Linked DNA regions of Rhinolophus ferrumequinum. The protein of the gene in region 2 purifies or fractionates together with the protein of the main gene of each other region. This does not show direct contact. Links are inferred from orthologs where the notes say so. Each region holds a gene or a part of one and is shown on either strand. Other genes may lie near its edges. The genes, in order: CDK2AP1, ZNF219 and CHD3.

What was found.
Region 1: the proteins of ZNF219 (region 2) and CDK2AP1 purify together in Homo sapiens (affinity purification with mass spectrometry; 3 studies listed by BioGRID and IntAct, counting the BioPlex papers as one, with this or other methods). This does not show direct contact. The link is inferred for Rhinolophus ferrumequinum from reciprocal best matches to the Homo sapiens genes ZNF219 and CDK2AP1.
Region 3: the proteins of ZNF219 (region 2) and CHD3 purify together in Homo sapiens (affinity purification with mass spectrometry; 3 studies listed by BioGRID and IntAct, counting the BioPlex papers as one, with this or other methods). This does not show direct contact. The link is inferred for Rhinolophus ferrumequinum from reciprocal best matches to the Homo sapiens genes ZNF219 and CHD3.

The regions. Positions count from the first base shown.
Region 1 is NC_046308.1:4,502,500-4,512,206, reverse strand, and holds the start of CDK2AP1 (cyclin-dependent kinase 2-associated protein 1), read right to left. Parts: upstream 3,659-9,707; 5' UTR 3,582-3,658; coding exon 3,527-3,581; intron 1,076-3,526; exon of another isoform or gene 1,065-1,075; coding exon of another isoform or gene 1,010-1,064; intron 1-1,009. UniProt on the Homo sapiens protein: Inhibitor of cyclin-dependent kinase CDK2. Also acts as a component of the histone deacetylase NuRD complex which participates in the remodeling of chromatin.
Region 2 is NC_046289.1:71,989,282-71,998,633, forward strand, and holds the start of ZNF219 (zinc finger protein 219), read right to left. Parts: upstream 3,666-9,352; 5' UTR 3,240-3,665; exon of another isoform or gene 1,920-3,239; coding exon of another isoform or gene 1,839-1,919; intron 1,514-1,838; coding exon of another isoform or gene 1,367-1,513; intron 1,247-1,366; coding exon of another isoform or gene 1,136-1,246; intron 817-1,135; coding exon of another isoform or gene 760-816; intron 671-759; coding exon of another isoform or gene 560-670; intron 244-559; coding exon of another isoform or gene 205-243; exon of another isoform or gene 173-204; coding exon of another isoform or gene 65-172; exon of another isoform or gene 33-64; intron 1-32. Other genes in the region: TMEM253 (transmembrane protein 253), read left to right, coding at 65-172, 560-670, 760-816, 1,136-1,246, 1,367-1,513, 1,839-1,919. UniProt on the Homo sapiens protein: Transcriptional regulator. Recognizes and binds 2 copies of the core DNA sequence motif 5'-GGGGG-3'. Binds to the HMGN1 promoter and may repress HMGN1 expression. Regulates SNCA expression in primary cortical neurons.
Region 3 is NC_046304.1:11,050,255-11,060,312, forward strand, and holds the start of CHD3 (chromodomain-helicase-DNA-binding protein 3), read right to left. Parts: upstream 3,632-10,058; 5' UTR 3,620-3,631; coding exon 3,340-3,619; intron 3,254-3,339; exon of another isoform or gene 3,120-3,253; intron 1-3,119.

The DNA.
Region 1 (9,707 bases), on a different chromosome or scaffold from region 2:
TACAGAATTACAAACAGCGGTAACCATGGAGAATTTACCTAGCCCTCCTCAGCAGCTGCCCGCCTGCCTCCACGCCTGGTCTAGGAGCAGCTCCCCCCGCCTGCCGCCTGCAGAGCCAAACGGTCTCTCTCACACATACAGCGGGCTCTGCAGACTTGGCCCCGGGGAGGGACAGCTGGTGCCAGGCTGGCCAAACGGACCAGCTGCTCATCTAGTGTGGGCAAGGGGAGGGGCGGAGAGGAAGGAAGGTCAGAAGCTCAGGCTGATGGAGCTGGAAGGGGCCCTAGAGCACCATGGAGCCCCTCACTATAGACAGAAATAAGACCAGAGAGGGTAGGTGCTGCCCCAGGCCACACAGCACAGAAGAGGCTAACACCCCAACACTATATCCAAGATGTCTTCCGTGGTCGCAGGCCTGCCCTAGATTTACTCACCAGGGCCCAGGTTTAAGCCCAATCAGAAAACATGGATTCTAATCCCTCCAAGCTGGTAACTGGGCACATCACTGGGTGACTCTGAGCCTCTAAAGTGGGGAGTGATAATGCACTGCAGAAATGTGCTGTTCAGGATGGGGGTAACTACCACGTTTTGACCTCCATCCAAGGCAGCCACGGGTGTGCCGCGGCCAGAGTACAGGAACTGGGGCAGGGTGCGTGCCTCCAGCTCCCCTCACATCATCCAAACCCCCGTTCCCAGTGAGTGAGGTCTCAGGTTTTGCAGCCCCAGCCCTGAGTTCCAATCCTGACCACTAGAAATTGTGACACCTCTCTGAAAGGCCAGGATACTAACTGTGAGACTGGGGCAGGGGGCGGGGAGCATGGATCATCCCACTACACTTCAAGGTGTCTAGAAGACACCAGCTCTCTGGCAGAGATGGGGGTGGCACCTCCCAGGCATTTTCCTGCCTTCCTCCTCCTCTTGCTCGTTTCACTGGGTTGCTGCCTCCCTGGCCTGTCTTCTCCCTTACAGGCAAGGGTCTAGACTAGGAGCTAGTCCAGCTGTGCCATACCTGGCTGTGTGACCTTAGACCAGCCCCTTCCGTCTCTGAGCCTCAGTTTCTCCATCAGAGGCAATGGTTCCCCACATTGCTCTAGATCCTGTTCTTTCATGGTGCTGGGCTTGGAGGCTAAGGAGGAGAGAGGAGGAACGAGAAAGTGCCCAGTTTTGGTTGCAGGGGTAACCTAGGTGATGTGGCAGGTGACACCAATCCTGTGGCAACGCGGTCCCTTACTCTGTGTTGAGGGGCGGGCAGGTGGCCCTGGAGAGTTGGCAAGGGGCCCAGAGTTATACTCATGCCCACTCCTTCCTACAGACACAGGAAGGGCCAGAGGGTCGTGCTGCGCAAGGCCAGGCAGAAAACCAGACTGGGCGTGAGCGCCGCGTTTCCGAGCATCGCAGACAATGCACGCAGTGTGCGGGGACCAGGGAGGCCGAGCAGAGGGAGGGACTGGCAGAGGCCAGCAGCTCCTGGGGCCAGGCACAGCTCCCCGCCCCCACACCAGACAAAGAGCGGCCTGGGCCTGGGGAGCTGGCGGCCTTCCCGCCACTTGGGGCGCCTTGGGGGGGGGGCTCTCCGTCAGAGAGGCGGGGGCTTTGTCTAACTCCGCCACCGCCACCGCCACCGCCACCGCCGGCCAGGCCGCGGCTTGGCAACCCGTGCGCAGGAGGCAGGGCTGGAGGGCGTGAGGGATGATGGCAAGGAAGCCGGAGGAGCGGCAGCGGAGAGTCCATCTTGGATGCAAATGGCAGGGGGAGATGGGGCTTTCTAAAGGTGTCCACCGGGAAGGGGCGGCCCCCACCGAAACACCAGCGATCCGGGCACCTCAGCACTCCTGGAATTCACCATAGGAGAAAGAAGAAAACCTGCGCAGAGCTGCCAGCCAGCCCAGAACAGGGCTTCAGGGGTCCTGAATGGATGCCCGTCACTCCGTGACCCCAGTCCCCAAAGGTCCCAGGTTAGGGCCCCTGCCTCAACTATTCCTAGGTCAGGACTGAGAGTTCCCGCCTGTCCAGGCTGGTGCAAGACCCTCACCTTTCCTGCCCCAGAAATGACAGATGAGGGAGGCAGTGAGAAATGCTACCTGCACCACAAAGCCTGTCTCAGTAAGGTTTGCAGACCCCAGAGCAGGTGAGAACATTTGAGAAAACAGTGCTGTGTGCTCTTGGGGATCAGAGCCCACATTTGACCAATTCAACTATCCCCCACACTGGTACCCTGAATCTTAACCCTTTCTAATCCCCAAATCTGTGTCCAAGAAGTTAAACACACACAGACACCACACACACACACACACACACACACACACACACGGCTTTTTTGGGTCCCTCTTCAGATTTCTGGAGTTAAGGAGCCACCGTTTGGAGATAAGGCCCAACACTTGCGGCCAACTGCCAGCGTGGCATTTCTGACCTGCAAGGCCAAACCCCCCTTCCCTCCCTTCTGTCCCCTCCCCCACCACCAACGTGCCTCGCTTTTGGGGAAGTATTTCCAACCAACTGTCTAAAGGAGAAGGGCCCTGGTGAGGGGACAAAGCCGGTGGTGTCCGCCTCCCACAATTTTACCTGCCCCTCACCCAGTCTCACTCAGTCCCTAGGGTGAGCCCCTGGGCACAGCCTAAAGCGGCCTGACAACTTCTGGAGGAGTTTCCCGGGACTGCCCGGCTCCAGTCCCAGGGAGGGGAGAGAGCGGCCCCTCCCAACTGCTGCAGGAGGGGGCCTCCTAGGCCCAGACTTGGGGGCTCCGACATGTGGGCCCCGACGGAGAGGTTCCCCCCCACACACACACACACACCGCCCTCAGGTACTCAGAAGCCCCCTGTCCTCTCCAACTTCTTCCACTCGCGCACGCCTGAGGGGGACCTCCCCAGTGCCCCATTCTCGGGACCCCTGCTCCCACGTGCCAGGCTTAACCCCCACTGATGACTGAGTCCCCTGCACCGCGGGTGACCCCCGTCCCCGCCGCAGCCGCCCAGAGCCCTCAGGGGCTGCTGCACCTGGCACGCCGCCGTCCCCCCGGCCCTGCCTACGCTGGCCTGATTTTGCACACGTGCGCCCCTGCAGCCCGGGCCTGCGCCCCCGCTCCCCACCGGCGCCCGAGCCCCGCGCCCCGCTCCCGGCGCGGCCCGGCCGCTCCCGACTCCCGCCGGCAGGGGCCCTCGCCGAGCCGCCCAAAAGCCGGAGGAAAAAGGAACCGAGGAAAACCTCCCCTGCCCTCGCCCGCCGCGCTCCCCGCGAGTCCTCGGCCGCCGGCGTGGGGGGGACGGCGGCGGCCGCCCGCCTGCGCCCGGGGCCCCAGCCCAGCCCCGGCCCGAGGCCCGGCGCGGGGCGGGGCGCACCCGCCAACTTTGGCAGCGCGAGCGCCGGAATCATGGCGGCGGCCGCCGCGCTGCCCCGGGCCGGGACCCGGTGCCCGTCGCCCTTGGCCTCGCGGGGCTCCCGGGGCCGTGGCCGGGGCCCGGCGTGCGGGCCCCCAACTTGGCAGCACTTGGGGCGCGGCGCGCGCGGCCCACGGGGCGCACTCACTCACCGGCGTTGAGGGAGGCGGCGGGCATGTGCGCGGTCAAGTTCGGTTTGTAAGACATCCCCCCGAGCGGCGGGGCGCGCGGGGCGCAGCGGGGCCAGGCCCGCGAGGCGACGGCGGCGGCGGCGAGGCCGGGCGGCGGCGAGGCGGGCCCGGCGTCCGTGCGCCCGTCCGTGCGCCCGCCGAGCTCCCGCGCACTTTTTGTTGTTGACGGCTCGGGCCGCACCGGCAAATATGGCCGTCCCTCACCCTGACACCGCCGCAGTATATCACCCATACATCGGGCGGGCGCAGGGGCGGCCGCAAACTTTGAGCCGAGCCAGCGGGGCCGGCCCGGGCCGGGAGGGGGCGGCCCGGCGTCAGGGGGCGGCTCCGCCCGCGGCCGCGCCCCGCGCCTCCCCGCGCGCTCGGCGCCCGCAACTTGGCAAAGTTTGGGGGGCTGGGGTCCCGGCGGCGCCTGTGGCCCGCCTGGGTCCCTTTCTTCTTTTTCGTTCTCGGCGCCTGGAGATTTTCTATTTTACCGCTTATTTTTTTTTTTTTTTAATAGCTAGGTAGGATTTCACAATTACTTTTTTCCTCCTTGACTGTGGGGGCAGGGATGGAAAATTACCTGGAGAAAATGGTGGCGAATGGTATTTTTAAGCACGTAGATCCTTCCAGACGCCGAGGTCTGGTTATTCCCCAGAATAAGAACAACCAATTCTAACATTGATTTCAAATAAATTTCACATCCTTGTCTGTATTTAGTGGTTTTTAACCCTTTGGGAGCCTGTGAATCCTTTGAGACTGGCAAAAAAGAGGAATCTCCTCCTGGAAAATCCACCCTTGCATTTACATAATTTTGCATCGTAACTCATTCAAATATTTAAGAAGCGCCTACTATGTGTCGGGTACTGTTCTAGGAGCTAAGGGTACAAGAATGAACTTGGCAAAGTTTCTCTACTCTCCTGGGGTTTAAGGTACAATTTTTGGCCCTCCTTCGACCCCACCCCAGCCTATGCTCGAAGCTGACTGAAATGTAATCATCAGATGGATTTAGGATTAGATGATTAAGCTTTTGAAGGTACTATTTCTTGGAGTTCTGCTTAGATGGTAAAGCTCGTCAAAACACACAAGATGCCCACCCTTTGCCATCGTGTTTTAATCACAATGGCTTGCAAATTTTTACACTGGTCCCAAACATTCAGACACACGCACCTAGTGAGGAAGGTTCCTCTCAGCTCTAGAGGGAAGGTATACCGCCCCTGCCCCTTCCCTTTGGGATTGAAGGTGCAGGTGACGTCCCCTCCCCTGCTTAACCAGCACCCCTTGTGATCAGCTTTAGGCTAGTTCATCCAAGGACACTCAATAAAATTTTATTTCATAAATAAATTGTCACCTTCCCCTACCCCCCCCAGGGGCCCAATACTCTGGGATAGCACTGTCTGATCGAAATACATTCCGAGCCACAGATGTGATTTTCAATTTTTCCGTAGTCACATTTTAGAAAGTAAGGAGAAACTGGTGACATTAATCTTTGGTACATATTTTTTAATATATCCACCACACTGTTTTCAATATGTGATGAATATAAAGAAATTAAGATACTTCACATTATTTTTATCACATGAAGTCTTCAAAAGCCAACATGTATTTTACACTCACAGCACATCTGGATTCAGATGCGCTGAATTCAGACCAGCCACCTTTCAAGCGCACGATGGCCACAGTAGCGATTTTCCTATGGGGCGGTGCAGGGCAAGCAGCTACAAGCAGCGGACTCCCAGGGCAGGCCCTAATCCTGGTACCACCACCTATGAGCTGTTCCACTGCACCTCCATGTCCTGGGGGTGAGAATCCAGATCTCAGTGGCCTGCACCAGTCCCGCCTACAAATGTCCTGGGCTCTTTTTCAGTTTTGTTGTGTTTTCACCACCCTTCACTTTTAAGTCCTGATTATCCCTGAAAACATTTTTCCCTTGTTTTTAATTGAGATACAATTCACTTAGCATAAAAGTCAGCTTTTTAAAGTATACAGTTTTGTGGTTTTTAATCCATTCAGTTATACAACCATCAACACTATCTAATTCTAGAATATTTCTGTCACCCCAAAAAGAAACTCCATACCCCATTGCAGTCACCCTTTTCCCACTACCCCTAGCTTTAGGCAACCACTACTCTACTTTGTCTCTATGGATGTACCTGTTCTGGGCATTTCATATGCATGGAATCATCTGACCTTTATCTTCTTTCATTCAGCATGTTTTCAAGGTTCGTCCATGCTGCAACATGTATCCATATATTATTTCTTTATTATTCATGGCTGAATAATATTCCATTGTATGGATAGGCCACATTTTGTTCATTCATCAGTTGACAGACATTTGGTTGTTTTCACTTTTTGGCTGTTATAAATATGGCTTCTATGAACATTTGCGAACAAGTTTTTGTATGAACGTTTTCAATTCTTTGGGGTATATACTGGAATGGAATTACCATAACCCTGTTACTATTTTTTTTTTTAATGTTTCACTTTTTAAGGAACTATCAAACTGCTTTGCTTAGTGTATGCACTACTTTCCATTCCCACCAGCAGTGTATGAGGGTTCCAATTTCTCCATTGTCTTCACCAACACTCCTTGTTACCCTGCTTTCCCGAAAAAAAGACCTAGCCGGACAATCAGCTCTAATGCGTCTTTTGGAGCAAAAGTTAATATAAGACCCGGTCTTGTTTTACTTATTTTATAGTAAAATAAGACCGGGTCTATAATGTAATGTAATATAATATATATAATATTAATATGACATAATGTAATATAATACCCGGTCTTATATTAATTTTCACTCCAAAAGATGCATTAGAGCTGATTGTCCGGCTAGGTCTTATTTTGGGGGAAACACGGTATCTGATTTTATTTTAGGCATCCCAGTTGGGTGTAAAGTAGCATTTCCTGGTTTTGATTGGCCATTTCCCTAATGAATAGTGATGCTGAGCATCTTTTCATGTGCTTACTGGTCATTTGTACATCTTCTTTGGAGAAACATCTATTTCAATCCTTTGCCTATTTTTTAATTGAGTTTCCTTTTTAGGTTAAATTGTAAGGGTTCTTTATATATTCAGGATATTAGTCCCTTCACAGATACATAATTTGCAAATAGTTTTTCCCGTTCTTTGGGTGGTCTTTATTTTTCTGTAGGGTCTTTCACACACACGTTTTATTTCTTGAAGTCCAATAGGTCTCTTTTTTCTTTGGTTTGCTTGTGCTTTTGGTATGCTATCTAGTCCAAGGCCGTGAATATTTGTCACCTGTGTTTTCTTTAAAAAGTTTTTAGTTTTTGGTCTTACATTTAAGTCTTTAACCCATTGTTAGTTAATTTTTGTGTACGGTGTGATGTGGACCCATTCATTCTTTGCAGGTGCATATCCAGTTGTTCTGGCACCATTTGTTGAAAAGACTGTTCTTTCTCCACTGAATGGTCTCGACACCCTTGTTGAGGGTTTATTCCTGGACTCAGTTCCATTGATTTATGTCTGTCCTCGTGCCAGTTCCACACGGCTTTGATGACTGTAGCTTTGTACTTTGGAAGTGGGAGAGCTCCAATTTTGTCTCTTTCAGGATGGTTTTGGCTCTTCTGGGTCCCTTGCATTTCCATATGAATTTTAGGATCTGCTTGTCCATTTTCGCCACACACACAAAAAGGCAATTGGAATTTTGATATGACTTGTATTACATCTGTGTATTAATTTAGCGAGTACTGCTATCTGAGTTGCAACATGAAGTCTTCCAATCCATGAACGCAGGATGGATTTCCATTTATGTAGGTCTTATTTCTTTAACTTCAACAGTGTTTTCAGTGTGTAAGTCTTGTACTTTAAATTTATTCCTAAGTATTTCATTATTTTTGATGCTATTGTAAATGGAATTGTTTTTGCAATTTTTGGATTGTTCATTGCAGCATGTACAAATCACACCTGATTTTTGTATGTAATATTGTATCCTCCAACTTTCTTGAACTCTCTTATTAGCTCTAATTTTTTTTGTGTGTATGAGTATTCTTCAGAGTTTTCTGTAGATAAGATCATGTTATCTGCGAATGGAGTTTCACTTCTTCCTTTCCAAATGGGATGTCTTTTATTTCTCTTCCTTGGCTAATTGCCCTGACTGGAACCTCAAGGACAATGGTGGCTAGTAGTGAGGGCAGGCATCCTTGTCTTTGATCTTGGGGGGCAAGATTTTAGTGTTTCACCATTTAATATGATGGGGCTTTCCATCAATGCCCTTTATCAAGTTGAGTGGTTTCTTCTATTACTAGTTTGTTGAGTGTTTCTATCATGAAAGTGTTAGGTTTTGCCAAATACTTTGTCAGTTTCCCCTCCTTCCCGCTTTTATTCAACAAATATTTGTTGAGTGTCTACTAAGTGTCAGACACTATTCTGGGGGCAGCAGGAAAGACAGTCCCCATCATGTCATGAAGCTTATTACTCTAGGCATGGCAGCCACATTTAGCTGTCTCCTCTGACCCCACCACACTCATCACCTTACCCGTCACCTCCCACTATTTGTTATTTTTCTTCAGGCCAGACTGGGGTATGACCCTGGTACTTGTTCATTCCCACATCTCAGGCTTCATTACACCAACTGGCCCTTGTGCTGTGCTTGGCAAACTCCTGTTCATCCATCAAAGCCCAGTTCAACTAGCCCACCTCTGAAGAGCCTTCCCTGGCTGGCTATGCCTCCACGAATGCTTGCTATGGCACTTCATCTGGTCTGTCTCCTCCATGAGTCTGAACTTCTTGAAAGGAAGAACTGTATCCTTCAATGTTATAGTCAGGCACATAAAACATTCCGGGATGGCCTCAGTGTGCTGCTCGAATTGGGACAAAGTGAGACTAGTTTTCTTCTGCAAGGACTCTGGTTCTCTCTTTTACCTGCTCACAACTCACTTTCTCTACCAGATGTGTTAGTTTTCTGGGGCTGCCACAACAAATTAACCATCAACTTGGTGGCTTAAAACAACAGAAATTTACCATCTCCCAATTCTGGAGGCCACACGTCTGAAATCAAGGTGCTGCAGGGCCATGCTCCCTCCAAAGGCTCTGGGAGAGTCCTTCGCCCCTTCCAGCTTCTGGGGACTCCAGGTGTCCCTTGGCTGTGGCAGCACCACTCCCATCCTGCCTTCGCTTGGCCTTCTTCTCTGTGTCTTCCCCCTTTCTCTTCTAAGGATACTTGTCATTGGGTTTAGGACCCACCTGACTCTAAATGATCTCATCTTGAGATCCCTGAATTAATTCCATCTGCAAAGACTTTTTTCCAAAAAGGTCTCATTTACAGATTCCAGGTGGACATAGCTTTTGAGGGACTACCACTGAACCCACTGCAACAGGCTTCAAAAAGGATCTGGAATTTTCCTTTTCTCCTCTTCCATGTCTAGGCGTTAAAACCCCTAAAAGGGGAAAGAAACATCATTAGTGGCGCCACTAAAAGACGTCTGTATGAAACTCACTGAACCAGGCACCTTTTAATGAGTGGTTTTAGAATGATCTAGAACAATTCCCATTAGTTTAATGTGCATTTCACAGAGTATTGCCATGGAGCAGAGCAGAATGGAAAGAGAAGGGGGAACGCAGAGCAGGAGCTTGGCATGGAAGAACAGCACACCCGTTTTGGCTCTGGACCCACCATTTACTCTGTAGGCCTCAAGTAACTTGTTTGACCCCCCAGGACCTTAGTTTCACCTGTAAGATTCGGGAGGTTTCAAAAGATGGAGCTCTCTAAGAATTCTTGAAACTCTAACATTGCAAGAAGGCAGGTTGACAATACACGTGCCATTTTCTCTAGTGAAAAACATCAGTCCAGAAAGGACTGTCAATCATTTTGGAACTGTTTCACTGGACAACATTCTGGGGCATTAGCTCCAAAGTGGGGTGTAGCTGCCCCAGGTGGTAAGAAGGGTGACTCGTAGGAGTCAGAGAATATTAGAATTCTGTTGACGTGGGATTTACTGTGTATGTCTCAGCCCAGTAGCACACATGCAATTTAACCCTAGTGGAGGAATGCTCAAAAATGTTGCGTATTTTTACTGGAAAATGTGACCAAAAGTTTGGAGAACACTGACTGACTTAAGAAACTAGTTAAGAAGGTGGCCGGACCCAACAGTTTGACAACCAGACAAGATGTGGGTGAAGTGTCATGATGAGCCTGTCATAG
Region 2 (9,352 bases):
TCTCTTGATAGGTGCTATAATGTATTTTCCAGGAAAGCACCAAGCTTTCGTGGTCAAGGGAGCCATGGAGGACAGAGCTGGTCAGCGAGAGCAGGAGAGATCCAGCCTTCGTCTGGAAAAGCTACAGCACTGGGCAAGGCACAGACAGAGTGGGCACCTCTTGGTGCTGGCGGTGAGGCCAGATGCCCCACCCCAAGCTTCAGCATGTCCACTTGTACCCCAGTTCAGTTCCATCCATGTTTTGTGAGCATCTACCATGTACTTGAAACTGCTAGGCTCTGAGTGGGAGGAGGGTGGAGGAAGCATAGGATAAACAAGGCAAGACCCTTAATCTCTAAGTAGCTTCCATCGTGTGGGGAAAACACATAGGTAAGTAACTAAACTATGACATGAGGCAGAAGAAATTAAATTATATCCCCCTCCTTTACTGCCCTTGGTTGACTACTTTCCACCACCATGTATTCCTGCCAATTGCTGATCTCTGCAAGAAGCAGGGGTTTGGAGGCGGGTAGGGAATTCCTGACAGTTTCCCTTCAACCATCCTGCCCCTGGCCTCCAGGTGAGCCAGCTATGGCTGGCAGTGGCTCTAGTGCCTTTTGCTGTCTCAGTTGCCTGCCTGAACTCTGACTGTCACATGGCCACAGCACTACCGCTTGGACCTGGAGCATCGGTAAGATCCACCACAACAGAGGGTAGAAGGTCCTAGAGGCTCTTCATTAATGAGGCCAGAGTTCAACACTTGCCTTTCTCACCATTCAGGGTCTCTTCACTGGGATTGTTACCCTTGAGCTGCGCAGAGCACCCCGCCTCTGGAAGGTGAAAAAGGAAGAGAATGAAATACTATTCTCCCACCCCCCCCAACACACACACACACACACACACACACACACACACACACACACACACCTCTCAGCCCAGGAAGTGGCTCTCTAAGTGTTGATTGATCCTGTCAGCTGTCTGCCCCTGACGCCTAAAAGACTGAGGAGGGAAAGCAAAAGAGTTAAAAGGACGATTGCCCTGTTGGGAGGTGGAGGAAGAAGAGCTGAGGGGGTTTTTTTTCCGGCTAGGTGCAGGTGGGGCTTGGGGTTGCAATGAGTCCCCTAGGCTGGGCAGTGCTGAGCTGGCTCACTGGCAGGTACGGGCCATGATGATATTCAACACCTTCAATCTGATCTTTGGCTTCGTCGTGGTGGTGGTCGAGGTGATGAAGACAGTCTTGGGGCCTGTCCCAACTGCCCCCTCCCAGGTATGGGCAAATAAAGGAGAAGGTGGGAGGATGAGGAGGCAAGAGGAGATGGAGAGGGAAAAGGGCTGAAGAAACAGGTGCTGGGTCCTCTGCAGCACCCTCAGCCCTGTCTACCTGCAGTTGGACAGGTTGCTGGTGCTAGAGATCAGCACTGAAGCCTTCACCCTGGGGGGAGTGTTGCTCTCAGCATACTCCCTGTTCCTGCTGAGCCAGAGGAAGCCAGGATGCTATAGGAGCCAGAGTCTGCACTACCAGGAGCTGCAGGAGGTATTGAAGGCAGGGAGGGAAGTTATGGAGCAGATAGCTAGCAGCTCATTTGGGGCAGGGAGGCAAGGAAGGTATCCTAGACTGAAAATGATTGGTTTTCTGGCTTTGGACAATTATCCCTTAGTGGTGGGTAAGAGGGAATTGGGTAACTAAAGAGTTGGGGCTAGAAATGTGGGAGAACATTAGGAAGCTGTGTAAGTATTGGAAGGGCTATGAGAACACGAGAAAAAAATGAGACAGGAGGAGGAGGAAGTTGCTTCTGTCTGGGATCCCACCTTTCTCACCCCTACAGTTTACTCCCTTCACACCTCTGTCTGGTTTTCAGGGTCTCTCTGAGTTGGAGGAAGTTACTGATTTGGAGAATCGTCCCACAATGGCTAGCACAACAAACGGAACAAATGAGTGAACTGGCAAGGGAAGCAGGCAGGTGCTGCTCTCCTGCCCTGTGGTAGCGTTCTCCAGACCCTCCTGCACCCCACCCCACCAAAGTCAGAAGCTAGATGGAGTCCCTTGAGATCAACATGAAGTCTGGTGGAATGCCTTCAGTTTTCACTCAAACTAGGCCCCTTTCTCTTCTAAGGGAAGCTATACCTAGATCAGCGTCTTCCCTCACCTCACTGCCCTGAAAAGCTGCCTGCCTGCAGGGCATCCTTAAACCAACTTTCATCTATACCCACTTCCTCCCTTCCATCTTTATCCTTCCCCACGGCCTCCCCATACAGCTTAACATCTGCCTCATCTCACTACTTCTCTTCTTTCCACCTTTCACAATCCCACCCACTCCGAGCCAGGGTTCCCCTGCCTGCCCACTCTCTGAAATCAATTATTGGTGCTTTAGTTCCCTTCCCTCGGATCCGTTTCCATTCTAGTTTAGCGGAGACTACAAATCCCAGGATGCCTCGCTACCCCGTGGCCTGCTGGGAAATAAAGAGCCTTTTCTCCGCGGTGGGGGCGCTGTGCATCTGCTGAGTGACGCGAGGTGCTGGAAGTCCGGGCCTAGCTGAGTTTCCTCGGACGCGACCACTGGCCCCACGTTTAGGGAGGAGCCGGGCGGGTTATTCTGCGCGGGGGCGCCGCCGCCCCAACCTCAGCAACTGAGAGCAGACTGTGGCGCCACACTCCTCTCTCTGCCAGCTTCGGAGACAGGCAGGGTCTGGGAGCTGACCCTGGGCAGAGCTGGGATTCCCCAGATACTGTCGCCGCGCCCCCTCCTACAGTGCCCAGGTCCAAAGTCCTGAGACTTGGAGCGCGCGCGAGAAAGGGTTGGAGATGATGAGTCAGAATCCCCGGGCTCTTCTCGTCCCCCTCCCCCGGAGCCTGGGCGCCTGAGGAGGACCTGCTCGCTGGGCAGACGGGTGGACGGGGCAGGAAGAGGGAGGGACGCGGCGACCCAACCTAAGACTTTCCCGCCTCTTGAGAGCACGCGGGTGTAACGAGCCCGCGTGGCCGCCACCCCTTCTTTCCAAAACGGTAGCAGGACTGCGCAGGCTCAGCCTGTCTGCAGCGCCGCCGACCTTTGATCCCGGCTGCGATCCGGTGGCTGAAGCTCTGGTTGCTCACAACCCCCACCGTTTATGACCTTTGCTAGTGTGCAAAGATGACAAGCTCAGGTGGACTTGAGAAAAGCCCAGGAAAACTGGGAGGCCCAATAGTACTAAGCCGGACAACCTACCAGCCGCCAGAGAAACTAGAAATTGACCAGAGCTGGAGTACTAAAAGAACTCACCCCAAATTCACATAGAGCCCAGGATGGGTGTGCGCCTCACACTCATTTTTGTTCCCATTTGAGAAGGCTTCTTTCCCTTAGAGAATGCTGCTTCTCCTGGCTTAGCCAAGCCCAGACACCAGTGAGGAAAGAGCGCAGCCTGGCTGCCTTGCCCTAGCATTGCAGCGGTGCCAGCGGCAACTCCTTTCTGTTTGTGACACCTTGGGAGTGGTAATAGTCGCCCTATGACAAGGTTGTGTGAGTACTAGTGGGTGGGGACAATTCTGGGATTAGGCTCTGGAATGGAGAAAATAAGATATGGGCCTCCCCCTTCTCCCAATCTAACTGTTAGAATAATGGAGAGCTCATGTGTGAAGTACTCAGAAAATAATTTCCATGTCAGAGGTGGTGGTAGATGAGGAAACGGGGGCTAAAAAGTCAACAGTTCACTCTCTCTATCTTCCAGATAGGAGCAACAGCTTTTAGTGATATGATCAGAAGTCTAGGAATTGCATTCTAGTTCTTGGAGAAGTTCAATGACCATGCACATAAACCTGTAGCAGTCAGGTTAGGCTAGGTTATGCTGTGGTAACAATGCCAAAATCTCAATGGTTTAAAACCACAAAGGTTTATCTCACACTAGAGTAATCTGGCAGGGGGCTCTGCTCATTATAAGCTATTCAGGTACCCAAGCATATGGAGCTCCACCATTTTTAGATCCTACCATGAAGCTTAGAGTCACCCCTCTCCCTAAAAACGCGTGAAGAATTGTTCATGGGCTCTTAAAAGATTCTGCCTTTAAGGAACACGTATCACTTCCGCTCAGACTTCATTAGCCAAAACAAGTCATATAGCCACACCCAACTTCAAGACAGAAGGGCAGTTTGTTCATACACCTGGAAGGCTAAGGGAAGTAGACTCATTAAAAGAATAAGAGGTAATCATTTGCAGTGATTCTTGAACAGCTCAGCAGTTGGAACTCATCTGTTCTAGCAGTTATGCCCATATCTACTATGGTTTTTTTTCCATGAACCACTAAATGAAGTTCTTAATAGAAACTTTCCCCCCCAAAAAAATAATAGAATCGAGAGTCAGGAAATCTAGATTCTGGTTTTGTTGTGTAAGTTTGGGCAAGTCAAACCTCTCTGAACTACATTTTGCTTACATGTAGATACCTAGTAATCATAGTGTTTATCCTATCTTATTGGAGTATGAAGGCTAAAATAAAATTATACATGGAAAAATAAAACTATGAAGCACTTCAGAGGCTGAGAATAAATTGCCTTTGGGATGAGGAGTAGTGTAAATGAGTGAAGCAGATAGGGTGTGCAGTAATAGGAAGTGGTGGGAACTGTGGCAAACTAAACACATTCTATTTAAATACTTTACCCCCTGCCCCTCAACTCCATCCAGTTATTGCCGTGTGGAACTGTGGGTCTGGTATTGTCATAGTTCCAATTTTCCTATACAAGTGAGAAATTCTGACTTTTAAATGTGAAATCCGATTTTAACATGTCACTAAGAAATTTTTTTTTTTAATTGAGGACCAGATTCAGCCTATTGCCCTTCAAGTATAGCCCCTCTGTTATACAAACATGGTAGGAATGCAGGTTTTAGATGTGCAATAACAGTTTTCGTTGGCCTTCGAGGCGTCTTCTGAAATTCAAATCTTGGAGAGGTTTAGCATTACGTTTTTAAATTTTTTTTTATTCAGAACTCTCTATGGCGTTGGTTATTAAGGAGGAGTATTTTGCCACCCGGACGTTATTTGGCAACGTCTGGAGACATTTTTGGTAGTTATGACTGGGGGAGGGGCAGATATGTAATGAAAAGAGCATTAGATGAGAAGTCAGAAGATCGGAGATTAACCCCAGTGCTACTAATGCCCCTTTCCTGTGCATTAGCCTCTGCCAGCTGCAAGTGAAGACTGAGGCTTGTCCTGTGATCCTCATTATTCCCCCCTCCACACTGCCTAATGCTAGAGTCCCTGGTTGCAATGCTTTGCTACAGTGCTTCCCAGCAACCAGTGTATCTATCTCTTTGTCAGTTTGGCAGCTTCTGTGGAAGTCACTCACATTTTACTTATATTGCTGCCCATTGGAACTTCACAGAAAGAAGTGACTGTGACCAGGTTTCTGCTGATGCCAGTTTTTAAAGGCCTTGACCCCAATGTTTTAAGCATTGGAGAAATATCTGATTCATATGTGGCTTTGTATGCGGTCGAATTCTCCGGTGGTTGGGAAATTCCCCGTGTGGAATTTTACCCTCATTTCTATGATATTCTGGCCTTGACTTCATGATTATAGATAACTGATGATATTTCCCAAGTAAAATATATGCGTTTGCAGATGGTTCAGGTCTTGTGCCCCGGGCTGTGTCCTCTGCTGCCATCTCGTGGCTTCTCGGCTGCCTGGGTCAAGGTCTCACAAAGAGTCTTCCGCAAGGTAATGGCGTGTGGAGTGGCTTAGTTGGAGAAAGACTCTCTGCACGCCGCGAGGCGCTCCCCAAATCCCTCCCCTGCAATGAGTCCACCAGGGCAGCAGCACACGTGGCCCAAGCGGAATCTGTACGTCGAGAGTAGGCGCCAGGCGCAGGGCCCTTCCGGGTCATCCTCACCCCCTTGGGCCTCTGTGCCTGTTACGTAATCTTGGACACGAGCCACCGAAATCAGTAAACTCATCTACCCAGGAGTAATCAGAGCTGACCTCGCCTGCTTGGCCTGCTGAATGCTCCGTAGCCTCTCACCACTCACCACCTGGGGTTGGGATGTTCTTAATCTCAGTGAGAAGAGACTATCCCATTGCGTTTCTGGATTGCGTTTTCTTGTCTAAACTCATTTTGTATTGTTCCGCGTCCACGCCCTTCATTTTGGCTTGCCTTGCTGATGCTGCCTCAAGCTCGGTATTTGATTGATGGTTTGAACAGAACAGTGGCGGTGTGGTCACTGTGAGACAATGTTTCCTATAAATATGACAGAGTCTGTGCACTGAAGTTATCAGAGGTCCCTCTCCAGGGTACAGGGAATCTGGGAGACTGCCCAGAGCTGGGCTACTGATGACTGAGCAGTCACTGAGCACAGGAGAGAAGCAGGAAAACATTTTTACTTGGCGCTAATTTTATTTATTTTTTCATTATCACAATGTGTTAACTGTCAAATATATGGTGATGGAAGGAGAACTGCCCCTGGGTGGTGAACACACAATGTGACATATAGATGATGTATTACAGAATTGTACACTTGAAGCCTATGTAATTTTACTAACCATTGTCACCCCAATAAATGCTAATTTTTAAAAAATGTGTTAACTTTCCTATTGCTAAAGTAAGTTTGTAGAACTGTCTGTCCCTCCTGTTAGTCCCTCCTGTACACTTTCCATTTGTTGTTTTTTTTTTTTTATGGAGAGCCCTGACTCCACCATTACCCCTAACTCCGGAAGAGGAGGAAGGAGAAGGAAGATGAGGAAGAGGGGAGGAGAGAGAGGAGGAGTGAAAATGCTGCCTTTGGTGTTTTAATCTGCTGTTCCCTGTATAAAACGTCAGGGAGAAGGGCCTCCTTGTATAATTTCCTAGATCCTCAGGTCAGAGATAACCTGCTACTAAGCTGATGTGTGTTGCTTCTCGTTAAAATTCAGATGTCATTTACTTAATGGGAGTTGTCTTCTGTTTCTTTTGTTTTTCGTCTTTGTCTACATTTTTTTCTGCCTTATTTATATTTTATGGTTCATGTTATTCTGGATTCTACTTATCATCTGTATCTTTGGTGTATTTTTCTCATTAGAAACTTTTCCTATGTTCTGTCCAGAGTTATGAGTTGTCTTTGTTGATTCATGTCTATTTTACCTTGCCTTTGTAAAGTTTTCTTGTTTAAAATGTTTTCCCCAAGTCCCAGATCCCAAGATGTAATAATTTGTTTTGCTTCTTTATAATTATGTGTTCCCTTTATGTGTAAAGAAAATACTATGTACTCATTCTTATGCTTTAAGTAAAGCGAGAGGACTCAAGTCATGGCACAGAAGAAACAGGACTCCTGTCTTTATAAATCTCAAAAATAATATGATGAAGAGAAACTGTTCTTTGTGAATCTAATAAGTGAAGCTGGGTTACTTGTTATAGAAAGGCTGATTTTAGAACAAAAAGAGAAGAAACTGAACACCTTTCAAAGATGAGCTACTTTGAAGTTGAACTCTGAACCTCTGGATATGTTAGACATGTTTCTTGCAACATGCTTATCCTGCACTGATAGGTTGTTGAAGCAAGTATTCAAATACCAACTGAATAGTTGGAATAGATGACCTTTAATTTCTATTCCTCTAGTCCCTAGAAAGAATTTATCCACTATGGCACTCCTGACATTTGGGCCAGATAATTCTTTGTCCCATGCGTTGTAGAATGTTTAGCAGCATCCCTGGCTTTGACCCTCTAGATACCAGCAACACAACCTCACCCCATTTGTGACAACCAAAAATCTGCAGACATTGCCAAATGTACCCTGTGAAGCTAGATAGCCCCCTCCTTGAAAACCAATGCCTTCAAGAGATATGATAAGAGGGCCAGTCCGATGTCTCAGGCAGTTAGAACTCCATGCTCCTAACTCTGAAGGCTGCCGGTTTGATTCCCACATGGGCCAGTGGGCTCTCACCCACAAGGTTGCCGGTTCAATTCCTCAAGTCCTGCAAGGGATGGTGGGCAGCGCCCCCTGCAACTAAGATTGAACACAGCACCTTGAGCTGAGCTGCCGCTGAGCTCCCGGATGGCTCAGTTGGTTGGAGCGCATCCTCTCAACCACAAGGTTGCTGGTTCGACTCCCACAAGGGATGGTGGGCTGCGCCCCCTGCAACTAGAAACGGCAACTGGACCTGGAGCTGAGCTGCGCCCTCCACAACTAAGACTGAAAGGACAACAACTGCTGAACAGCACCCTCCACAACTAAGATTGAAATGACAACAATTTGACTTGGAAAAAAAGTCCTGGAAGTACACACTGTTCCCCAATAAAGTCCTGTTCCCCTTCCCCAATTAAAAAAAAAGAGAGAGAGAGATATGATAAGAAAGATTTCAAGAAGTTAATGTCTAACTTCTCTTGTATTTAAAAGGAGGCCTACAGGAAATGTGTTACACATCGCAGACCTGAAATTCTCTCCTCTTGTCTGCCCCCTACTCCCGCTTCTGAACTTTCTGTCTTATATCCTTTGGTCACACAAACTGAATGCTAAACCTCTCTCCCTCATTTGCTATAGCCCAATACTCACCACATTCTATAGATTTTCCTCTTGCTCTTGAATCAGTCCTTTTCTCCTCATCACATCTCACCGACCACAGAAAAAAGAGTCCTAAATAGTTTCTATGCCTCCAGGCTTGTCCTCCTTGGTTACATCTTCCACATTCTTCAAATAAATGTGACCACTTTCTTCCCTGCTTACCAGTCCTTCCGTTGTCCCCATCACCTGTAAGATCAAGTCTAAGCTTTTGAAAATGGTGTACTGACCCCTGTGATCTGGCCTCTGTCTGCCTTTCCAGTGTCCTGTTCCATATCCCCTCCCTTGTACTTCATTCTTAGTGACAGCAATCTGAAGAAAGTGGCTTTGGCATGCAGCCTTACATTTTTAAAAAAATATTCATTAATATGTATGATAAACACTCCACCCCATCTTTGAGCTTCAGCCTCTCCCTCTCCTTCTCCCTCTTTTTTGCTTTTTCATTAACCCAAGGATGATGACAATGATAATACTGACTCACTGATGGGCTGGACGGAGGTCAGGACTGTTTGTTGTGCACAATAGTGAGAAGTCAAAACAATTAAAACACTAGTGGGAAATCAAAGCCTTATCATGTCAAAATATCTGAATTTGGCACATATATTTCTTACTTCTGTGCCTAATTCAAGCTGTGGTACCTAGTGCTAGCCCCATCCCAGCCTTTTGTATTGCTACTATCTGCTACTGATCCTTTCAGACTCAGCTCAGTACTCACCTACTTTGGGAAGCTTTCCTGAGGTCTTCCCCTTCTCCTCTCCCATAACAGGAGGAAGAAAATCAATCGTTATCACTGCAGACAGTTAGCACTGTCATGGGTATGCACAAACAAACCTTCCTAAAATAATCCTTATCTTCCATCAACTTCCCCCATATATTTACT
Region 3 (10,058 bases), on a different chromosome or scaffold from region 2:
AGACCTGTCTTGCTCAGGCAGAGGAGTCTGTGCAGGAGCGGGAAAAGCCTGGGCTCCGCCCAGCCCCTTGCTCTAGGACACACAATCCTTCCTCCTACAACAGCCAAGGGAAGATTAGCCACAATTAACACCGGAGGCCTGGGTTTCCATTGCCTCAGAATCCCGGCACCTCCTTCCTTCAATGCTACTTCTTAAAACTCCAGCATCCTGTGTCCTCTCCTGCAGGAAGACACTCTAGGATTGGGAGTTTGGGGTGGGGGGGGCGGGCAGGGGGTGCCTGCAGAAAGCCCCCCGTGTGAAAACAGTGAGGATTGCAATAGGAAATAAAAAGTCAGTAAGACACCATGCCCCAGCAAGCCAACTTTCTCTAACCCCAGGGACTTCGGTTAACGTGAACAGGGAAACAGGGCAGTGGCAAGGGCAGGCCAACTGGCTAACGATCAGGGAAACGGCCTCGGTCACCACTAGCTGGGGGTGGGGCACAAGCTCTGGGACCTCGCAGCCAGTTAACTCCACTCCCCACCCCAGCAGGAGGTTTCCGAACTTGGGAAGGCGGTGGTGGGTAGAGGCTAAGGAGAATGGCGAGGAGAGGAAAGGGAGGGCAATAAAGCAAATCCAAGTCCCAACCTCTGTCTCACCAGCCACTCAATGCTGGCCCGGAGCCCAGACTCTCCCACATCCCCGGCTCAGATCTCGGGAAGACCGCGAGGGAGGAGGGTGGGCAAGGAGCGGAGGGCGGAGCCTGGCTGCCAGAGAAAGCAGGAGGAGTCTCGCAGCAAGCCTCGCCTCCCGACCGCCCCTTTTCTTCTAATCTCACCATCAATCTCTCACACATATATTTATTTTTTCTCAAATTCCCCTCCCTCCCCCACAACGAACCACCATAATAGGTCTGCTGCACATGCGTATTACACGTAGGGGGTGGGTTTGTATCTTCAGACCTTTTGCAAAGAAACTACCAGAATTTTCCGCACCACCCACAATCATTCCCCACCCCCACCCCACCCCCAAGGAATCACATCTATATATTATGTTATATTATTTCTCTAGACTTGCCAGAAGGGGGAGGGAGAAGAAATGAGTTTTGGGCTTCCTGCTCCCTTCCCCCATCAACACGAGTGCTATTATTTTAAACGTTTAACAATGTAAGGAGACTGGAGAGGGGGGAAGGGATAAAATTGGTCTTGGGTTAAGAATGTAAAACAAAATGGTGAGAATCAAAGCAGTCAGAATGAAAAACAATAGAAACCTCTAATACACACAAATTCATATTCTAGAGAAGGATGAAAGGGGGCAGCCCGAGAAAATTTCCTTAGAGGAGGGTTATTTTGCCCACACTTAGGGAGACAAATAATGAGCAGACTAAAAATATTTTCCCAAAGTTTTACCTCAGAAAGTCATCTGAGGGGGGGTGTATCTGGGTCACTCATTTGATTTGGAGGGCTGAAAGGGAAATAAAATCGCCCTGGGAGACAGAAAAGGTGGGTTTTCTTTTCAAATAAAGAATTTTTAAAACATTTGACGTTACTTCTCATCTATTCAGAAAGCAAAGAGGGAAAAGGGAGGGAGTGTTGACACAAAGACCCATCTCGACCTCAGATTCTTTCATGCTCCTCTCTCTCATACCCAAATCCCGGATCAAATACATTCCAAGTTCGGAATACAAATAGGTGACAGCGGCCAATACCCTAACATAACCTGACATCCTCTTTCTCTCTTTTTAGCCCTTTGGCTGTTTTCCAAGCAACCCCCCCTCCCCACAATTCTTTATTCCTTTTCCCTCGCGCAAATCAGTGGGCTCTCTGGGATAACTTTCTAAAAACTTTTCCCTTTTTCAGAGAAGCTTGGTGGCGGTGAAGGAGACTTTATCCTGTTTCCATCAGACACGCATCCTCCTGTCCTCTTACGAAAGCACCCTACACTCCCTCAAAGGACGTTTGCCACACAAGCCACAGAGATCAATATGAGTTTTACAAAGAGCATGATGTTAGATGTTTTGAAGTTTGGTGCATTTGTGCTGCATGGCACCCAGAGGCCTGGGGATGTGGATGTCCCCTTTCCTTACCCAAGCAGGAAGTGTGAACACCCTAAAGATGTCACCTATCCTAAAGAAGCCTAGAAATAACTCCACTAGGAGGGTGGTCTGAGTAAGGTCATTGCTGGGCTCCTGGTGCGGCAGCGGTCTGTCCCCTCCACCACCGGAGGAACTGCCCAGAGAGTGCCGGTGACCTGTCATCCCGGGAGGCGGTGGGGGGAGTGGTGCTGAGTGATGGTCAAGCTGCAGAACAGCTGGGTGGGCAGTTCACGCCCCTCAACGTGGTCAGGGTGTGGGTGGTTTCAGCGAGAGTTAGTGACAGTGAATGGCAGCCACGTGAGAGTCACAGCTGGGCAGCTCGGCCACCCCAAACTGACAGGGTCATGGGGGGGGGGAGGCGCACTTGACACAAAAGAGCCCAGAGCAGAGGAAAGATGAATGGGGTGGAGCTGGGTGCATCTGGTTTCCCAGACCCTCGCCTCCCGCTCCCCTGTCCTAAGTGCCTGCTGTCCCTGTTACGAACTGTGGGGAGCAGGGGTAGGAGCAAGTCCGATTCCAGGAAGTGGTCCGCGTGAAGTGTGGCCACCACCTGCCCCTAGTCATCGGCCGCCCACAAACATTCACACAACCCCTCCCCCACGTGCCACCGCACGCCCGAGTTGGCGGGCACCGAAGTCCCCGCAGGTGGGGGGGTCCGATGGACACCGCCCCCCCACCTTCACTACTCCTGAGGGGAGGGGGTTGAGGCCGCGGTCTGCTCCACACGCGGAAACCCCACTTTACCTCAGTCCAACCCCACCCGGACCAGAACCCGAGGGGCGCTCGCGCGGCCGCCCCTCCCCCACGTGCCCCTCCCCCACGCCGCCGTCCGGCCGCCAGGGTCTCCGCGGTCCCTCGCTCGGCCAGGGAGGGGGCCTTGGCTTCGCCTCGACCGTTTCCTGCCTACCCCCTCCCCGCCGAGGGTGAAAAAAATATATATGTATCTCCTCCTCCTCCCCCGAAAGCCGCAACCGAATGGCCCGGTCCGTGCGCGCAGCTCGCGCCCAGCGCTCTCCGGCCCGGGCGGCGGCGGCGGGGGAGGGGTGCGGCGGGGGAGGGGAGGAGGCCTGGCCCCGCGGCCGCCGCGAACGTCGCCCGCCCGGACCGCTCGGACAGCCGCGGGGCGACGGGCCCGAGACGGCGCCCCGCACCCGGGATTCGCCTCGGTTCGGCCGCGCGGTGGGTGCCTCGCCCCCGCCGGGCCTCGCGCGCCTGCAGCTCCCACTCGGGCTGGGGGGAGGGGGGGAGTCGGGGCTGCCGCTTACCTGGCGGAGGGGGCGGCGGCGGCGGCGGCGGGGGCAGAGGCGGCGGCGGCGGCGGCGGCGGCGGGAAGAGGTGGCAGCCGGGGGGGCTGTGGCGGTCGCGGCCCCGGTCGTGGCCCGGCCGGCGCCCGAGTACTCCCTCGTCGTCGTCCTCCTCATAGTCCTCTTCGGCCGCCTCCACCTCCTCCTCCTCCTCGTCGCCCTCTTCTTCCTCCTCTTCTTCCTCCTCCGACACCACCATCTCCTCCTCCTCCTCCTCCTCGTCCCTCAGAGGGGAAGCCATCCTGTGGCTCTGGCCCCCCCACCACCCCCCCACCCACCGCCCGCCCGCCTCCCCCACCGCTACCACCACCACCACCTCCTCCTCCTCCTCCTCCTCCTCCTCCTCCTCCTCCTCCTCGGCGGCGGCGTCCTCCTCCTCCTCCTCACCGCCTCCCCCAGCCCCCCAAACCCCTGGGCCACCCCCCTCCAAAACCCCCACCCTCAGGGCCGCCGTCTGAGAAGGGGGGCCAAACCACCCCAAAAATTTTTCTTGGAAAAAAAATTGAGGACTTTTTTTCCCCCTCTCTTCTTCCTCCCAAGAGAACAAGAAGGGGGGATTTAAAATATATATATATATATGTATATATAAAAGTTTTCGACTACTCTCTACCCCCCTCTCCGTTGCTTTAAATATATTTAAATTCTGAGGGGGGCGCTCAGAAATATTTCTCAGAGCTGAGGCACTAAGATGGCCGCCTTGAAATTATTTTTAAAACAACCCCCCCTCCAGCACGGCCACCCCCTCCATGAAGAAGGGGAGAGGGGGGAAAAATCCCCTTTTAAAACAAAATGGCTGGCTTAATATTTTATTTTTCACCCCCTATACTCCTCCTTGTTACACCCCCATTTCTAAGCCTCTACCCAGAAACCCACAAATTTCCCCCTTTTTTCATAACTGATTAGTGCACAGATTAATAGAGATATTTTCCTTGTGTACTGAGTGTGTGTGCGCGCGCGCGCGCGTGTGCGCGCGCGGGGGGGCATGAAGGATTTCTGCATAAAACAAAAATGGCTGCTGTGACTAACTCCCCCCTTATAAAAAATATTTGAGGGGGGGCATTAATCAGTACTCATGCTCAGTCTGACATCAGCATAAATTGTTAAAGGTTAACTAGTTAGATACTAATCCAACTAGATCTAATTTTTTTTCTTTACTAGTCTCTTCCTCCCCACCTCCCTTCTCTTAAAGAAAAGCTTTTTTTTTTTTTTTTCTGAATACTTCAGAAGGGAGTGGTTTGATGTGAAGGCTTTTTTTCCCCTTCAGGCATTGAAAAGGAAAAAGATGAAATATATGTTTATATATAACTGTTTCTACATACCTCATTGAAGTCAAAACGCGTTTAATTGTGTACGTATCTTTTAAGCGAGAAGTGATACTGGATTTTTTTTCTTTCTTTAAAAAAGTGATAGAAATCCTAGTGACTTTTGGGGGAGAGATATGAATAGATACAATGATTGAGTTTTTTTTTCAAAGGAGTCCATGTTTGATTCTCCCCTTTGCCCAGCCTTTTCAGTGATTTATAATTGTACATTTTATCTTCACCCTTTTCTCATTTACCTCACCCTCCCCTTCCCCAATTGCTTGAATATAAAATTCATCTGACTTGGGAAATTAATTTAGGGGTAAATAGAACAGATTTTTAGAATAAAGGGGAAAGAGTCAAATCGGAAGATTGTGAAATGATTTTCTCTTTTCTCCTATTTCAGTATATTTCCCTTCCTCCATAATCTCCAACACTGATGAAGTGGAAGAAACTGAGATACCGTGAAAGAAAAGTAACCTGGACTGAGAAAGACAGAGGTAGGGGGGTTACACTCACATTTTCATGTGACTCTGAACCATTATTTCCAACTATACCCCAGTGTTTATCTTATAGTGGTACCAGAAATCCGATGGAATATTGTAAAGGAGTCCAAAAGTAGCTTTCTCATCCAGAGACTTGATAAGAGAAGTTGTAAAATAAAATTTGCCAGTTGAACAATGCTAGCAAAGGAAGAAGGGTGAATGGCTCAGTTCTACCCTTTTTCAGTCTTGTCACCCTTTTCTTACTCTAGTTCTTTTGATCTCACTTTCCCCCTTCCCTTGCTTCCCATCCCATGCCTGTGAAGTCATTTCTCTCCTGGGTTATTTCCCTACCTCTTAAGTATAGCTGCCAGCCACCCAGCAACCCCTGCAGTGTTTGGGAGCACCTGAAGAGGGAAGGGTAGGTAGGTAGCAACCAGAAAGTATTAGTACAAGGAATACTATGCAGATTTTTGCTTATGAGGCTAAAACGTTCTTTATTGATGTTCCTCCCGTCCCCCCACCACACACACACACACACACACACACACACACACACACACACACTAATGTACTTTATTGAGCATTGATTTACATCTTTTTCTTAACCTGAACTTTGGAATTTTCTTGCCTCTGTTCCCGTATCATTCCTGTATGAATCTAATTCCTATCTGTCTTCCATTTGATTTTGTTTTATTTATCCTCTTTCTCAGTCTCTCTTCCTAGTCCATCTGGATATCTCTCTTTTCTGTACGGGCTTGTCTGCACGTATGTCTTTATTTTTTACTAAGACCGTCTTTCTTATCCCTTTGACTGTCAGGCTCTAGCACCTCTAAGTGACTATCCATCTCTGTCTTCTTTCTGTTTACTTCTGTCTTCCGGGCTCTGATTGCATGTGCCTCTTCCTCGTGTATGCCTGACTCCCCCTCTTTCTGGCCCTTCTGTGTGTGTCTGGGAAGAGTGTCCCCACGTGTATGTGGGCAACCCTACACATCATGTGTGCCGCAGTCTCTCTACCTCTGTTCCCTCTCCCTCTGTGCTGAGCGCCTCTGCCTGCCTGCCACATGTGCCACGAGCTGCAGGTGTGGGTGACTAAAGGTGACTGTGTGCATCCCTGTACAAACATTTATCATTCTCGAGTGTGTGCTTTGCATATAGATCTCTTAATTTGCCTGATTCTCCCTCTTGTCCATCTCCCCCTCTGCCTACCCGCATCTCCTGTTCTCTCCCTACTAACTTCTTGATTTTTCTTCTACTATCCTTGTTTCTGCCTGTTTTTCTACCTACTTACTTCTATTATGGTGTCTGTCTGCCTGCCTGCCTGCTGGTCTGCTCCTCCCTGACTGGCTGGCAGCCTTTTTCTCTCTGGTTGTCTGTCTGCTTTGCTGGCTGTTTGCCCACCACTCTCTCTCTCTCTCTAGCCATCTGTCTCCCTGCCTGCCTGTCTCTATCACTTTTAGCCTGGGTTTTTCTACCTTCTATGCCCTGCCATGGTTCCCTGTCTTGGCTTATCTTATCCTCCTTCTTGTTCCTCCTCTTATTTATGCTTGTTAAGTTCCTGATTTTTCCTTGCCTCCCATTATGTCTGTCTTCTTGCCTACCTACTCTACTTGCTTGCTGCTATCCCACTGTTTAATGCTTGTATCTTTTAAGTCTGTCTGCTTATCAGCTTTTTTTCCCTTGGCTTTTCTATCCCAACATCCCATCAATGGTGATGGGCTGTATCCCAAACCTCTCAGTGACCCCTTGCTCCAAAGTCTTATCTGCCTTCTTGCCATATCCTCTACCTTGCCTTCTCTCACTGCTTACCGCCATTTCAGTTGTCTCTTTTTCTGTCTTTCTGGTTCCTCAGACAGTCTGCCTGCCTCAGTCTTTTTGCCATTTTCCCAGTTTCTCCTTGTCTTCCTGCCTTTTTGCTGTCTCTACCTGGCTGGCTCTTGCTGTCCACATCTCTGCTTGCTTTCCTTTTTTTTCTTTTTTTCAATCAACTTTTAAATAGATAGTATATACGCATGTACAAAATGTTTAAAGGACTAAAAGTGTCCTGTGAAGACTAAGTCTCCCTTCCTATCCTTCTCTTCAGCACCCAGTTTCTTTCCTCAGAACTGGCCACTACTTCCCATTTCTTGGATATTGTTCCAGAGAAGAGGCACACATATATATCTGCTTGCTTTTTGATGCACCCCTTCCTACTTCTCTCCCAGTTTTGCTGGATGCTGCTGCTTCTGTTAGTCTGTCAGTACTCCTTCCTATTTTGCTGGACTGTCATCTCTTGCCTGTTGTCTACTTTATGGCACTTGTCTTTTTGATTGACTGGTTGCTAGTTGTATGCTTTTACTACTAGTACCTGAGGAGCACTTAGGACAGTCTTGCTCTCTCCTTATCTCCTGTTCTATGCATAATAGGTTATCTTGATGACAGCACACTTCTGCTGGTCTCTTCATCACTGAAGTATGTATGAATTGAGAAAGGACATGAAAGCACTGATAGTACTGAAAAAATACTATACAAATATATGTATAATTTAATAAGTACAGATAGTTTATAAGCTGAGCTTACATGAACACAGTAGGTAACAGGCCTGCTCTGCCTTTCCCACATCTACATAAATTCTTTAAAAGCATATGAATATAGATCCTTTTAAGTTCAGCAGCACTCTTTGGCTGTTGACCTAGGCCTGTCCAAGAAGTTTGTCTTCCTCCTAGCCTTAAAAATCTTTTCTTCTTACTAAAACTTTTCTCCCTTTTCATCCTTCCTATAGCTCTTCTCACATGCCACCTTAGTGATGTTACAACTCATTGCGGGAAAGAAAGACACAGCCTCTATCCAGGTCTCTTCAGAAAGATGATGATAAAAGTTTTACACAACATGCACTGTTCTTTTCATTTCTGCTTTTTTACTGCCTGCATTCCTGAATGTAATGGTTTCAGCCTCTATCTTTGTGTCTCTCTTCTGTCTTTCCCTCGTTTCCCACTCCCACTTCTCTTTTCTTGGTTCTGTCTTTCCTCTTAACTCTGTGTTGGGCTACATTCTAGCTTCTCTTTCTGATTGGCTACCTTCTCTCTCTTCTGTGTGATTGGCCTGTATCCTTGTATCCCTCCATCACCCCATCTGTCTGCTGGATTCTCCCTGTCTGCTTGCAGTAATGTATGTGATAGCACTTTATAAATTATAAAGCACTGGGTAGTATAAAACATTATTATCACTTCGTTTCCTTTCTTTTCTTATTATTTCCTTTATTTCTGTATGCCTTCCTTCTCTTTTTCTCTTCCTATTTGTCTGTCTCTGTCCTTCTTGGTGGTCTTACGTGCTTCTCTGTCAGTCATTCTCCTTTCTTTCCTTGCCAGCCTGTTTGTTTTCTGCCATCCTTCTTTTCTGTCTGCTCAGTTCTTGTGTCTCTCCTTCTGTGTTTCCAGGTTCCTCTACATTTCTTTTATCTGTCTATTCTGTCTGTCCTTAGGCCTTTTATCTTTGCCTGTGTGTCTCAGTGTCTTTAGCTGCTTGTCTTCATGACTGTCATTTTTAATGTGGGCACCATTCTGTGCCTTTTGCTATTTTCCTGTACTTCAAAAAATAAAAATAAAATAATTTAAATACCATATGACTAATTGGTAGAGGAGAATATTTTTTGTTTTTAATGAGAAAACCATTAAGATGAGAACAAAAAAGGCAGGCAGCTGTCAAATGCAAACCCAAAATTAGCTTGTGCCACCCCCACAAAAAAAGAAAAACATTGTAAGGGACTCCCAAGATTTTTTTTTACTTAAAGCAAAAGCAAGAAACTTATCCAAAGCAATAGTTTCTAACGTTTTTTGGATCATAGAAACTTATAAACCCTTCCCCCAGAAAAACAATAAATATATAAAATATGACACATGTTTTCATGAATACCCTGAAGTCTGTGTACCCCAGGGTAAAACCCTGATGGAGGGAACCAATGAGACTGGTTAATAGAGCATAAACATGAACTTACGCAACAAAGCAGATCGAAGAACTGAAAAAACACTTTGCAATCTATGATTTTCTATCTAAGCAGATGTTAAAGAAATTCCCAGTTGTCTTTTGAAATATATAGATTAGTGATAATAATGAAAGGCATGTAAATGCTGAAGATAGTATGGAATTTTAGAGATAGAATTCTAAGTCAGTGGTTCCCAAAATGGCTAAGTAAGTTTGTCCTCTGTCCTTTCCTGGTAAGGTCTGTCCTTTGTTCTGAGATTATGCATTTCTTACGTGTATTTTTATAGATAGTAAATATATAATATACTTTATATGTAATAAACATATAACACACACACATATATTTTATACACACACACACACACACACACACACACACAGAGGGTGTCAAAAAATGTATACACATTTTAAGAAAGGAAAAAAACTATTAAAATGGTAATACTCAATATGTACTGATAACAAAAGATGAATATAAGTCATGTGTATACATTTTTTTGGCATCCCACTATACATACACACACATGATTATATATTTTAAACATATATCTGTTAAAAATGACCCTTCTAAAAATGCTTAAGATCTGTAGGGAAGGATGTCCATGATAGATTTTATGGAGAGAGAGATAGAAAATGACTTTTCATACTTCTGTACAATTTGAACAGAACATGCATGGACTTCTTTTAGTTACAAAATATTTGTAATATCTTTCTATTAAATAATGATGATGGGTATATAGGTTTGGGTTTTGTTATTCTTAATGTTCTTACTTAGCAAAATAAAAAGTCAGCAACTCCATGTTGAGAACTAACTTTTTTTTTTTCTTTTTTTTTTTTACGTTTTATGGTCATTGAGATCTAGAAGTCTGGGACCCACTGCTTTAACCTAACCTTTTCTTGATTTCATGAAGAAACTTTAGACCTTCATATACCATATGCA